2 linked regions of the Caenorhabditis elegans genome follow. The protein of the gene in region 2 interacts with the protein of the main gene of each other region in a pairwise test. Each region holds a gene or a part of one and is shown on either strand. Other genes may lie near its edges. The genes, in order: scpl-1 and lim-9.

Region 1 (4,905 bases), 870 kb from region 2:
GCCACCAGACACGTTCAAAACAACAAATCTTGTGAGTTTTATTGCTTTTTGAATTTCTTTTAAGACGTTTCTGAGCAGATTTTGGATGTTTTTCGAAGGGAAATAGAATATGGAAAAATATTTAAATATCTAATTTTAAAGTACACACGAGGCACAATATTCTGAATTCTATTACCGTTAATCCGTTTCAAAAGGTTTCCTTGGTAACCGAGAGAAGCGATGTAATTCTTGTGAAAAACAATGGCATAGCTTTTTAGACCATAAGGTATTTTTGAATATTTTTCTGGAGACCCTTGACCTCTCTAAATATTTATTTTCCCATTTCCTGCTCCATCATGAATCGAGTCCATCAAAGGAAAAGCCATTTGAAGCGTGAAGAAAGTCGCCGTGAGAGCGACCTTGTTGAGTGACGCCTGCTCCTTTCTTTTGCTCCACGACATTTCCTTTCATCGTGGTCCTTATTTCTTTCTAAAAGCGTGTATATAAACTCTTATTATGATGATTGACGTCCACCTCATGCACCCGAATCTATTTTTATGTTCAGTAGCAGCTCTTTTGAGCTCTCTGGGCGTTGCTTTTCAAAAGCTCAACGTGATTGGCACATTGCCAACATGTGAGACCTGCCGCCGACTTCCGCGCCCTTCATGATCCGCCACTAATCGGTGAGCAAGTACTCGTTGAAGTGAGCAGCAAGTTTATATTACTTATGGTATATACACACACGTCGCGCCTTTACCCTCACGCGGCATACGGCATACGGCAATGCTTATTTGTTCTTTGTCAAGCACTTCTTTTGCACATTTTGGCAGCAGCGCGCACGGAAGGCGCCGCGTTCTTTGCAATAACCAGACTGTGCTCTGGGAGCAGCAGATGATTTAGGGGAAAGATACGAGAAAAGAGAAACAGAAAGAGAGTAGTTTGCGTGCTCATTTCAACAAGCACTTCACCTCTGCCCTCGGGATACCTCAGATAATTTGTGTTTCTGAAGAAGCTAGTTCTTCTTTTTCTTCTTCTTTGTTCTCTGCTCTTTTCACCTCTGAAACCCCTTGAATGTCAATGTTTCTAAAACCATTGAAATTAGATATGTTTGGGTTTTGCCCCGTTTATGCGTTGAAACGAACAAACATTCTATGTATCTTATGTGAGACAAGAAAACAGATTTAGTTCTCTCCAGAGACTCTCCCATCAAAACACACACCTGTCTGTTTTTTTTATTAGCCAACCACTTCCCCATAAATTCTTGCCATGGACTTTTCAACAATAACAAAATTGTTTCCTCATATTTTTATTATTTTTTCTTTCTCTCAATATGTCTAGAGTTTGGGCGGCAATTCTATTATTCGGAAATGAATAAAATTTTGAAAATTTGAAATTTGACAATAGTTATCGGAAAAAAGTTCCGATTACCAGAGATCAAAATCCTCATATTTTTAATAAGTTTTGATCATTAATTTTTTTGAATCATTTTTCTAAAAAATTCGAATTGTCGATTATCGAATTGATTTAAAAAAAACGATTTCCGCCCACTTCGTAATGTTTCAAATATTCTACTTCTTCAATTTTCTTATTAATCTCTATTTCTCTTCGAACATCAAACTTATCATATTCCAAAACCCCATTTCCTTATTTCAAGAAATATCTCGTCGATCCTCCATCATCCACCTTCTTCCCCAGTCATCATAATCATCGGATGACCTACGCTGAATCGACTCGATCCGCCGTCGTCTACTCGTCGATTGTGCCTCCACCACGTACTCCAGTTGGTCCGCCGATGTTGAAAGATGGCGTGCGGAAAGGATCCGCATCGCAACCACTTCAACCAAAAAACGGTGCCAACAGTTTGGACTATTGGAGTAAATCGGAAGATGAAAAGTCTGGAATAACGTGTTACTACAGTCGTCATAATATTCAATTTCCACCACCACAGAGGAAAATGAAACCTGTAAAACCAAATCCTGTGGGAAGGTCAACAATAAATGGATTCACACCATCGACATCATCACCACAAAATGGTCTTAGATATCCACCATTTCCACAGAATACACCAGAATCTGTGATGAGTCCTCCAGTTGGAATCTACCGTAATATTCCCGCAATGCCACGTGCAAAACTTACAAAAGATGAGAAAAATGGAGGGAAAATGAATCGAGATGGTGGAGGAGAAAACCCAAAAAATGTAGTTTGGGGTGGAACATCAAGAAAAGATGATGATACGGCTAGTACACCGTTAAATTCATTTTCAGCCAATGGTGAGATAACCGGGAATGTGAAAAGTTAATTTAAAAATAAACTGAATTGTTTTTTTTTTTGTAATTAATATTTTGTATCAGTTTCAGCATCAATCGAGAAAAAGCGATCAACAGCGAGAAGGAAACCAAGATGGGCACGCTGTTTTCAGACACTTTTCTGTTGTGTGACTCCACCCAGAGAGATTGGTATGTGATTTTTCATTTTAAAATTATCAAAATTCTTTTAAAAATTTGGGGTTATTTAAGTTATGTAGAATGCTCCAAGAGTTCACTAAAAAAAATTTAATTAAAAAAATGAATTTTCAATTTCTGAAGAGAAAATGGATGTAGTCTGAAATGATCCAATTTGACTACAAAAATTTATCTTTTTTCGGGAGTTTTCCTTCAATTTTGCAAATTTTTTTTCAAATTTCTGAATTATTTGTTAAATTGCCACCAAAAACGGTTACTGTAACTCAATAAATTTTTTTAAATAACATTATTTGTAAAAAAAATTTCCTGGAATTTCTGTATGCTTTTCACACTTTCCTATAACAAAATAGACTGAAAAAATTTTAAAAAATTGTTTTGTTTATTTTAAGCGACAAATTTTTGAAATTCCAGAAAAATTTAATATAAAGACATGTTAAAAATTTTTTTTTGAAAATTTCCACAAGAAAAAGCTAAAGAAAAAAAGGAAATTTGGTCTTGTTACAGTAACCAGTTTGTGCGAAAATTTGAAAGTTTTGCAAAAAAAAAGACAAAATTTTAAACACTTTATAGGCATATTCGATAATTTTAGACTATCTTCTATTATTTAACAATTGAAAAATGTTCTTAATCATAGAAAAGTTCAAAATTTCGAGTAATTAATAACGCCGCTTTTATGTTTTCTAGAAAACGAAATGAGTGTTTTCATCTTCATTTTTTCTTTATTTCTCTTTCTCTTCAGTGGTAGTGTTCCAGTTATTACACCAAATCTTCCATCTCTTTCATTTTTATCCATCAAAAACTTCAATCATCAGTCGGAAACCACCCCACGCTTCTGATTTCCCATTCTTGTGTGCATTTCAATATTTCAAAAAAAAAACTCATAATTTCTCCTTTACCCCGAAATTCGCCAATATTTTCCGATTTACGAACGCGGCTATCAAACTTGTCGATAGACAGCAAAGTGAGTTGAACTTTTGCGAAAAAGGAAAAAAAGGCGAGGGCAGCTGGTTTTGATTTATTTGCAAATAATCTCCCCTCAGGCAATGTGTCATGCATAAATACGCAGCTCACGGTCGGAGGGAGTACCGCAACTTTTTGAACTTTCAATGTTTGCATATGAGAAATGAAGGAAAAAAATCTCGTTTAACATTTTAAAAGTAGCATTAAAAATTAGTATTAGGGATTTTGAAATACCAAAAACGGCTTTAAATTATCCAAGATATTCAGAAATTCAGAAATACCAAAAGAACAAATTTAGAACTTTCAAAAATAACGCATATAACGATAGAAAAATGTATTGATTTGTTAATGATTATTTAAAATTGTTTGTTTGGAAAGTTTCTCAGCGATTTTCTTTCTTCCGATTACTAGGTTTTCTTTACAGAAGAATTCCTGAAAAATGTCACTCGTTTGCGCGGGAATTTAAATTGAATTCTGCCGTATTTTTCATTTTTGCAAAATAGGAACAATCATTTCAAAAACAATACTTTGGAACTCTTCCCAGACAGAATCTGTCCTTGTCAAATCATCGATGTCAAAATTGACAACTTTGAAACAAAGAATATTATTTTCCCAGACATTTTCTTCCTCGCTGCTCATCAGAAAATATCATCATTTTCTTTCTTATCTCGAATTTCAACGAAAAAAGATGATCAGAACCCCCGCACAGTTGGATTTTCGGATCCTTTCGAAACATCTGGTGCCACTCGATTCCTGGCACAACGCCTTTCACAAAGAACTATGATTTATGAACATGAACTTTTTTTTAAAGTTTTGTGGGTGTAGAGATAAATAAAATTTAATGATTTTCCGATGAGCATGCATGAGGCAACTGCTCAGTGATCAGATATCACAAAAAATCATCTTAAGGGTGGAATACCGAAATCTGGGAATTATTTTTAATTGACTCCAAATTGCCCCTGAATAACGAATGTGTGAAAAAATTCAAAAAAATTATCTGATGTTATATTTGATTTATATTTTTTTCACATAAATATTCGGAATCAGGGGCAAATTTTGAGTCAATTAAAAATATTTCTTAGATTTCAGTACTCCACCTTTAACAACAATTACCGTAACCAAATTTCGGCAATTGAATGAAATTCTAACAAAATTGGAGAAAATATTCATAAATTTTCAGAAAAGATACAATCAAGCCAACGAACGAACAGTACAAACAACAATCATCAGAATGGAAGACCATCTACACCAACAAATACAGGACCACCCATTCAGCTTATCACACAGGTACATTGGTTTCTTCTGAAAATGCACAACATTGGAAAGAAATTGTGCATTTATTGAAATGTTTCAAGAAACATGTACTTTTGAAAGTAGAAATTTCGAATTTTTGCATTATTTCAATCCACAAAAAATCTGAAAATATCGGAATTAACTACGAAAAAATTGCGGAAATTGTTTTTTTTTTCTGGAAATCCCACTTCTTTTTCAAATTTTGTAATTA
Region 2 (4,982 bases):
GAAAATTTCAGTGAAAACCAATATTGTTTAAAAAAAAACGTTATCTATATAACTCTTAAAATGGCACCAAAAAAGCCGGATATTTTTAACAAAAAAAGTACTTTTCAGATGTTTTACTGTCTTAACCGTATTTCTGTCGCGTGCAATGAGTCACATTTCTGAGAAAATAAATTCGAATTCCAAAATTGATGAAATACGAGCACAGTATTTAATTTTTTCTTAATATTTTCGGACGTTTTTACTATTGAAGTCAATAATGAATAAGGTGGGAATTTTTTTTTTCACGCTTTTTTAAAGTTGAATTTTCCAAAACATAGTTTGGGAATTAGCATGTTAACATTCGTTATGTTTTCGTATACATTCAAGATAACTAAACTTTACTTTTAGCTAAATTAAAATCGAAGAAATAAAATTTGTTCAACCACCAAACTAAAGATCAATCGTATCATCAATTAAACGAAAAGTCAAAAAAAAAAAGGGTTCCAATTGGCACACTTTTTTGAGATATCATGTGATATGACACTGATAACTACTAATTGACAGTATGATTCAGAGAAAGGAACAAGAAAAAGAAAATGATGTTGCAATAAGGAAATGAACGTTTGCAAGAAAAAGATGTACTTTTAAAGTGGGAAGTACAATACTTTGAATTAGTTGAATAGAAATTTTGGGAGAAGCTTGAATTCAGTATGAAGCTTATTAGACCAGCCAAAACGTAAAGATTTCTTTTTTAATAAAAAAGAAAATGCAATTACTGATAACATAGAGAATAACTGAAATAAATACGTACCTTTGATTGAGGTGTGTCATCGTAAACTTCCACGATGATCGGAGATGCTTGTTTCTCATTCTTCTGATCTTTTCGTTTTCCATCACTTTTTTGAATAATTGAATTAGAAGATGTTGGCCGGGGCGATGAAGATGTTGGAGGTGGTGGAAGAAGTTCCAATCTTTTTTTTGTTTCTCCGATATCTATTGCTCTTTTTGTGTAATGATCTTCTTTTTCCTGTTTAAAAAATTTAAAAGTTAGAAAGAATTCGAAGCAAATTTTACTTTTTTTAATTTTTTTTTAAACAAGCTGAAATTGTTGTCTACAATATGATGTCTAGTCGGATAGCATGTGTCGTGCAAGATTTTGAGGGAAATGGCCGACACAATACGTCTTTTAATGGAACAACCATTGTTTCAGGTATTGTGATTTTGAATGAAAATATCCAACCTGCGCATTATTATTTTCCGGCATATCATAGATATCAACCACTTCGGTGTTTTTTGAATAACACGAGCACAATAATTTGTGAAGAGCTCCATGAGCAGATGGCATTACTCCGTCTTGAGCGATTCTGAAAATTAAATAATTTAAAACATTTTCCAATAAAGTGAATGGCTAAACATTAAAACATGTTTCTGCTGTTTGCAATTAACTTTCAATTTTCGACTAAAACTTATCGTAAGCTCTCTCAAAATAGGTATGAAATTGAAAAAGGAAATAGGCAATATTACTTTCAAAGTGTCAAAATATTTTCTAGTTTTTAATTCAAAGCCAAAAATGTTCTATCAGAATTATAATTTAATTTGCAAGTGGTAATTTGTTTTTAATTGGAGAAATTATTTTTGCAATGCAATAAAAAAATCGACTAGTTTTGAAATTGAAAATCAATAAATAAAATGAAAATCACGAGGGTTCAAAAACAAGAACAGAAATTTGAGAAATTCGTTCAAAAAACATTTAATTTCTCAAATTGTGTGTCACTATTAAAGGAAAGCCAGGGTGTGGTCACTTCATGATCATATCGAAAATTGCCAATTTTATGTTTATTTTCACTTTTTGAAGGAAGAGACGATTGGATTATGAAGATAGTGGATAATGACAACAAGATAATGAGAAAATATATTATGAAATGAGAAATATCATTTGGATTTGAGAGACTCAGAGATTCACACACACTTCCCGAATATGGCATATATATCAATTGATCTTCAATTGATTAGGTACTCTATTTGTGTTGCATAGTTATATATCGAGAAATATAAATTGTGTACCCCAAAAAGTACTCCGGGATATGTGCTACAAATACACTCCAACATGACTTTAAAAAATAATTAAACGCTTCAAAAAACTTTAGGTCGTTCAAAAATTTCTGTCAAAGTATTGGTGAATCGCTAAATTTTGACGGAAATTTATTGGTAAAAAAATTTCCACTTTTCGACTGCAAATAAAAATATCTTTCAAAGCTTTTTACATTTTAGCAACGAATTAATTGGTTTCAAACAATTTTCTTATAGGCGACGTTCCACATTAAATTGTATAAATGATATTGGCCAGTCGATTTGAAAGAACAAATAAGTCTCGAACATCTTCTTCCGGAAGATTGCAGAAAAGTGTGCCTTAAAACTGGCAGTTATGTCACTTGTAGTCATTTTGAAAAATTGATCACAGAAGGATTACAGCGGGGTTTAGAAGGAAGAAATGTAGAGTTTGAAAGGGTTCTTACTGGTTTCTAAACACTTTTTTTGAAGAGAATTTTGAACTCTTCTACTTTAAGTTTATTACCATGACTCTCCTGAAGTTTTAATATTACAAATAAATTATGCATAACTCCAGAATAAGTTTGGTGAACTTTCCATGATTGGACAAAAGGTCATACCCGAGAGAGAGAAACATCCAGATACAGTAACCCACACTTGACAATACCTAATTTTTGTCGTGTCTTTTAGAAGAAAAATGGCAAGATCTGGTTTTTTTGGTATCTAAATGGTTTACCGTTTTTTACACATTTTTATTGAATAAATAACTTCTCGAACACATTTTACAAAAGCTACTAATATGCCTTTATAAGTTTATGAATTCAAAAAAATTGGGTGGAAAGTATTATCTACTATTTTAAGATGTTTTTTTTCAGAGATCTATCCATAACTATCAATTTTCCATTTTGTGAAAAAAAAACTTACGAATCTAATTGATAGGCAAGAAGATATTTGAATGCATTTGACAATTCTCTTGGACCAACATTGTCAGACATATTACAGAGAGGGGGCCAAGTTGAAAAGAGTTCTACTTCTGTTAAGTACTTATTATATTAGTTCAAGTGTCTATTTGTATAGAATAAAATAAAAGAAAAAGAAAAATTTTGAAGATTTTCTACTTCTATTCCAAATGATCTTCTGACCATTTTCTTGAATACGAAAATCGGGAAAATGCGAGCACAATATCGGCCAAATTATATGCGTCTTTGACTTATTCTCGTGATTTTTCAACCAAACAATACCTCAAAAACTAATAATTAAAAAACTGTGTAAAGACAAAACATTGATAATATTGTCTAAATTGCTGCCAAATTGTTATTACGTAGACGTGCAATGGTCTCGCCATTCGAACAACGGGTTACTGTAACTCGTATTAATGTACGGGCCGCTATTGCACAATTATTTTTTCTAAATAAATCTTGTCAGTAATTTCTATTTTTGAAAATGATGATACAACTTTTAGTGACCCGTAAACCGACATGAGTTACAGAAACTCGTTTCCCACGTGGCGAGACCCATACGCGCCTTTAGAATTCAAAAACATGTGTTGCAAGAGAACATATACAAATCTATTCCTGTAGATGTCAGCCGCTTCAACTTTTTTTCCAGAGGAAAGCAAAATCTAGACAAAGTTATAATGAAAATCCTGTCTGGTAAGTTTTTTAAAATTACTACTTAAGTAGCTACTTTTGATTTTTTTTTGTTGTTGAAAAATCACCAACTTTTGGCCGGCACTGCATATAGCTGGAATTAATAAAAACTAATGAACAATATTTTAAAAATTCGGAAAAACGAGTACTACTTCTCTCAAACTTTCGAAAAAAACCATAAAAATTTTGAGTAGGCGGAGCAGGAGCCGAATGACGTGACAAAGTACAAAAAAGAGCAGAAAAAGATGGTCGGAGGGTTACTGTGTAATGCGAACGGAGAGTAAGACGAGTAACTATTTGCAAATCGGATGAGCCATCTGCTACGCAACAAGTGCAAAACTCAAAAATTTTAAAGAGGGAACAGAGAAAAATAGCAGACTTCTTGAATTTCTAAAAGTAGCTAAATTCATCATACTCTAAAAAAAACGGTAGTATTTAAAATCAAGTTTTTACTTCACAACAGACTTTAAGAAACAAATATGAAATACCAAAAAATCCAAATAAGCATCAGGTTGACTGATCTTATTGGTAAATATTCACATAAAAATAATTAAACCGTGTGTATTTTTTCACGATATGATACACAAAACGGTGGGATGAATTTAATATTTAACAGAGACTAATTTAGAGCATATCTTCGCATATGCTTTCCAATCTGACCAATTTATTCCGACACTCCTGATCCTTGACTTTTTTGAGCGACTGCTTGATTGAGTAGCTTGATGAAGAAAAACTCGATTGCTTTTTGTCTGGGAATCTTCTAGCAATTGAAGTCAAGGTGTTAATGATAGGAATAAACAATTCCTTGACTTCCGAGTGCTTCAGCATCAGTAGCATCAAGCGAGGCGACAAAATCTTCAAGTGAGGGAGAATATGCGAATTGGTGACTTCTTCGGGAATCTTCGTGAATAATTTTTCGAGAACATTCAATAATGGATGAAGAATGCTCGTATAAGAGAATCCTCGATCCGCCACAATCAAAACATCAGTGATCGACTTGATGCCATTCAGTTCGACGACAAGCTTTTCCAAAAGTGATGGAACAAGATCGGTGACTCGGTCTGCAAAATATGAACATTTCTATGTGTTGTATGGTTTTGCAATTGACGAAGAAAATCATCCATGGCGGCATATTCATAAACTTTTGGTTTCTATGACTTTCAGATCAAAAAGCAGCTTCTTCGTAATTTTCATTTGCGACATACCGATGACAGTTGCAGCAACATGAACGACGTGAAGGTTATCATTTGTGAGTCCATGAAGAGCGCATTTCTTTAGCCTGAAAATCAATTTTTTTAAATATAT

The links.
Region 1: the proteins of lim-9 (region 2) and scpl-1 interact in a two-hybrid assay, tested with the Caenorhabditis elegans proteins (one study listed by BioGRID).

What each region holds. Positions count from the first base shown.
Region 1 is NC_003279.8:10,091,209-10,096,113, reverse strand, and holds the start of scpl-1 (CTD small phosphatase-like protein 1), read left to right. Parts: upstream 1-1,633; 5' UTR 1,634-1,690; coding exon 1,691-2,249; intron 2,250-2,336; coding exon 2,337-2,435; intron 2,436-3,335; exon of another isoform or gene 3,336-3,452; intron 3,453-4,581; coding exon 4,582-4,688; intron 4,689-4,905. UniProt on the Caenorhabditis elegans protein: Phosphatase which may play a role in the egg laying muscles.
Region 2 is NC_003279.8:9,217,706-9,222,687, forward strand, and holds the start of lim-9 (Protein espinas), read right to left. Parts: upstream 3,024-4,982; coding exon 2,953-3,023; intron 1,344-2,952; coding exon 1,220-1,343; intron 1,007-1,219; coding exon 791-1,006; intron 1-790. Other genes in the region: aspm-1 (Calponin-homology (CH) domain-containing protein), read right to left, coding at 4,302-4,738, 4,883-4,956.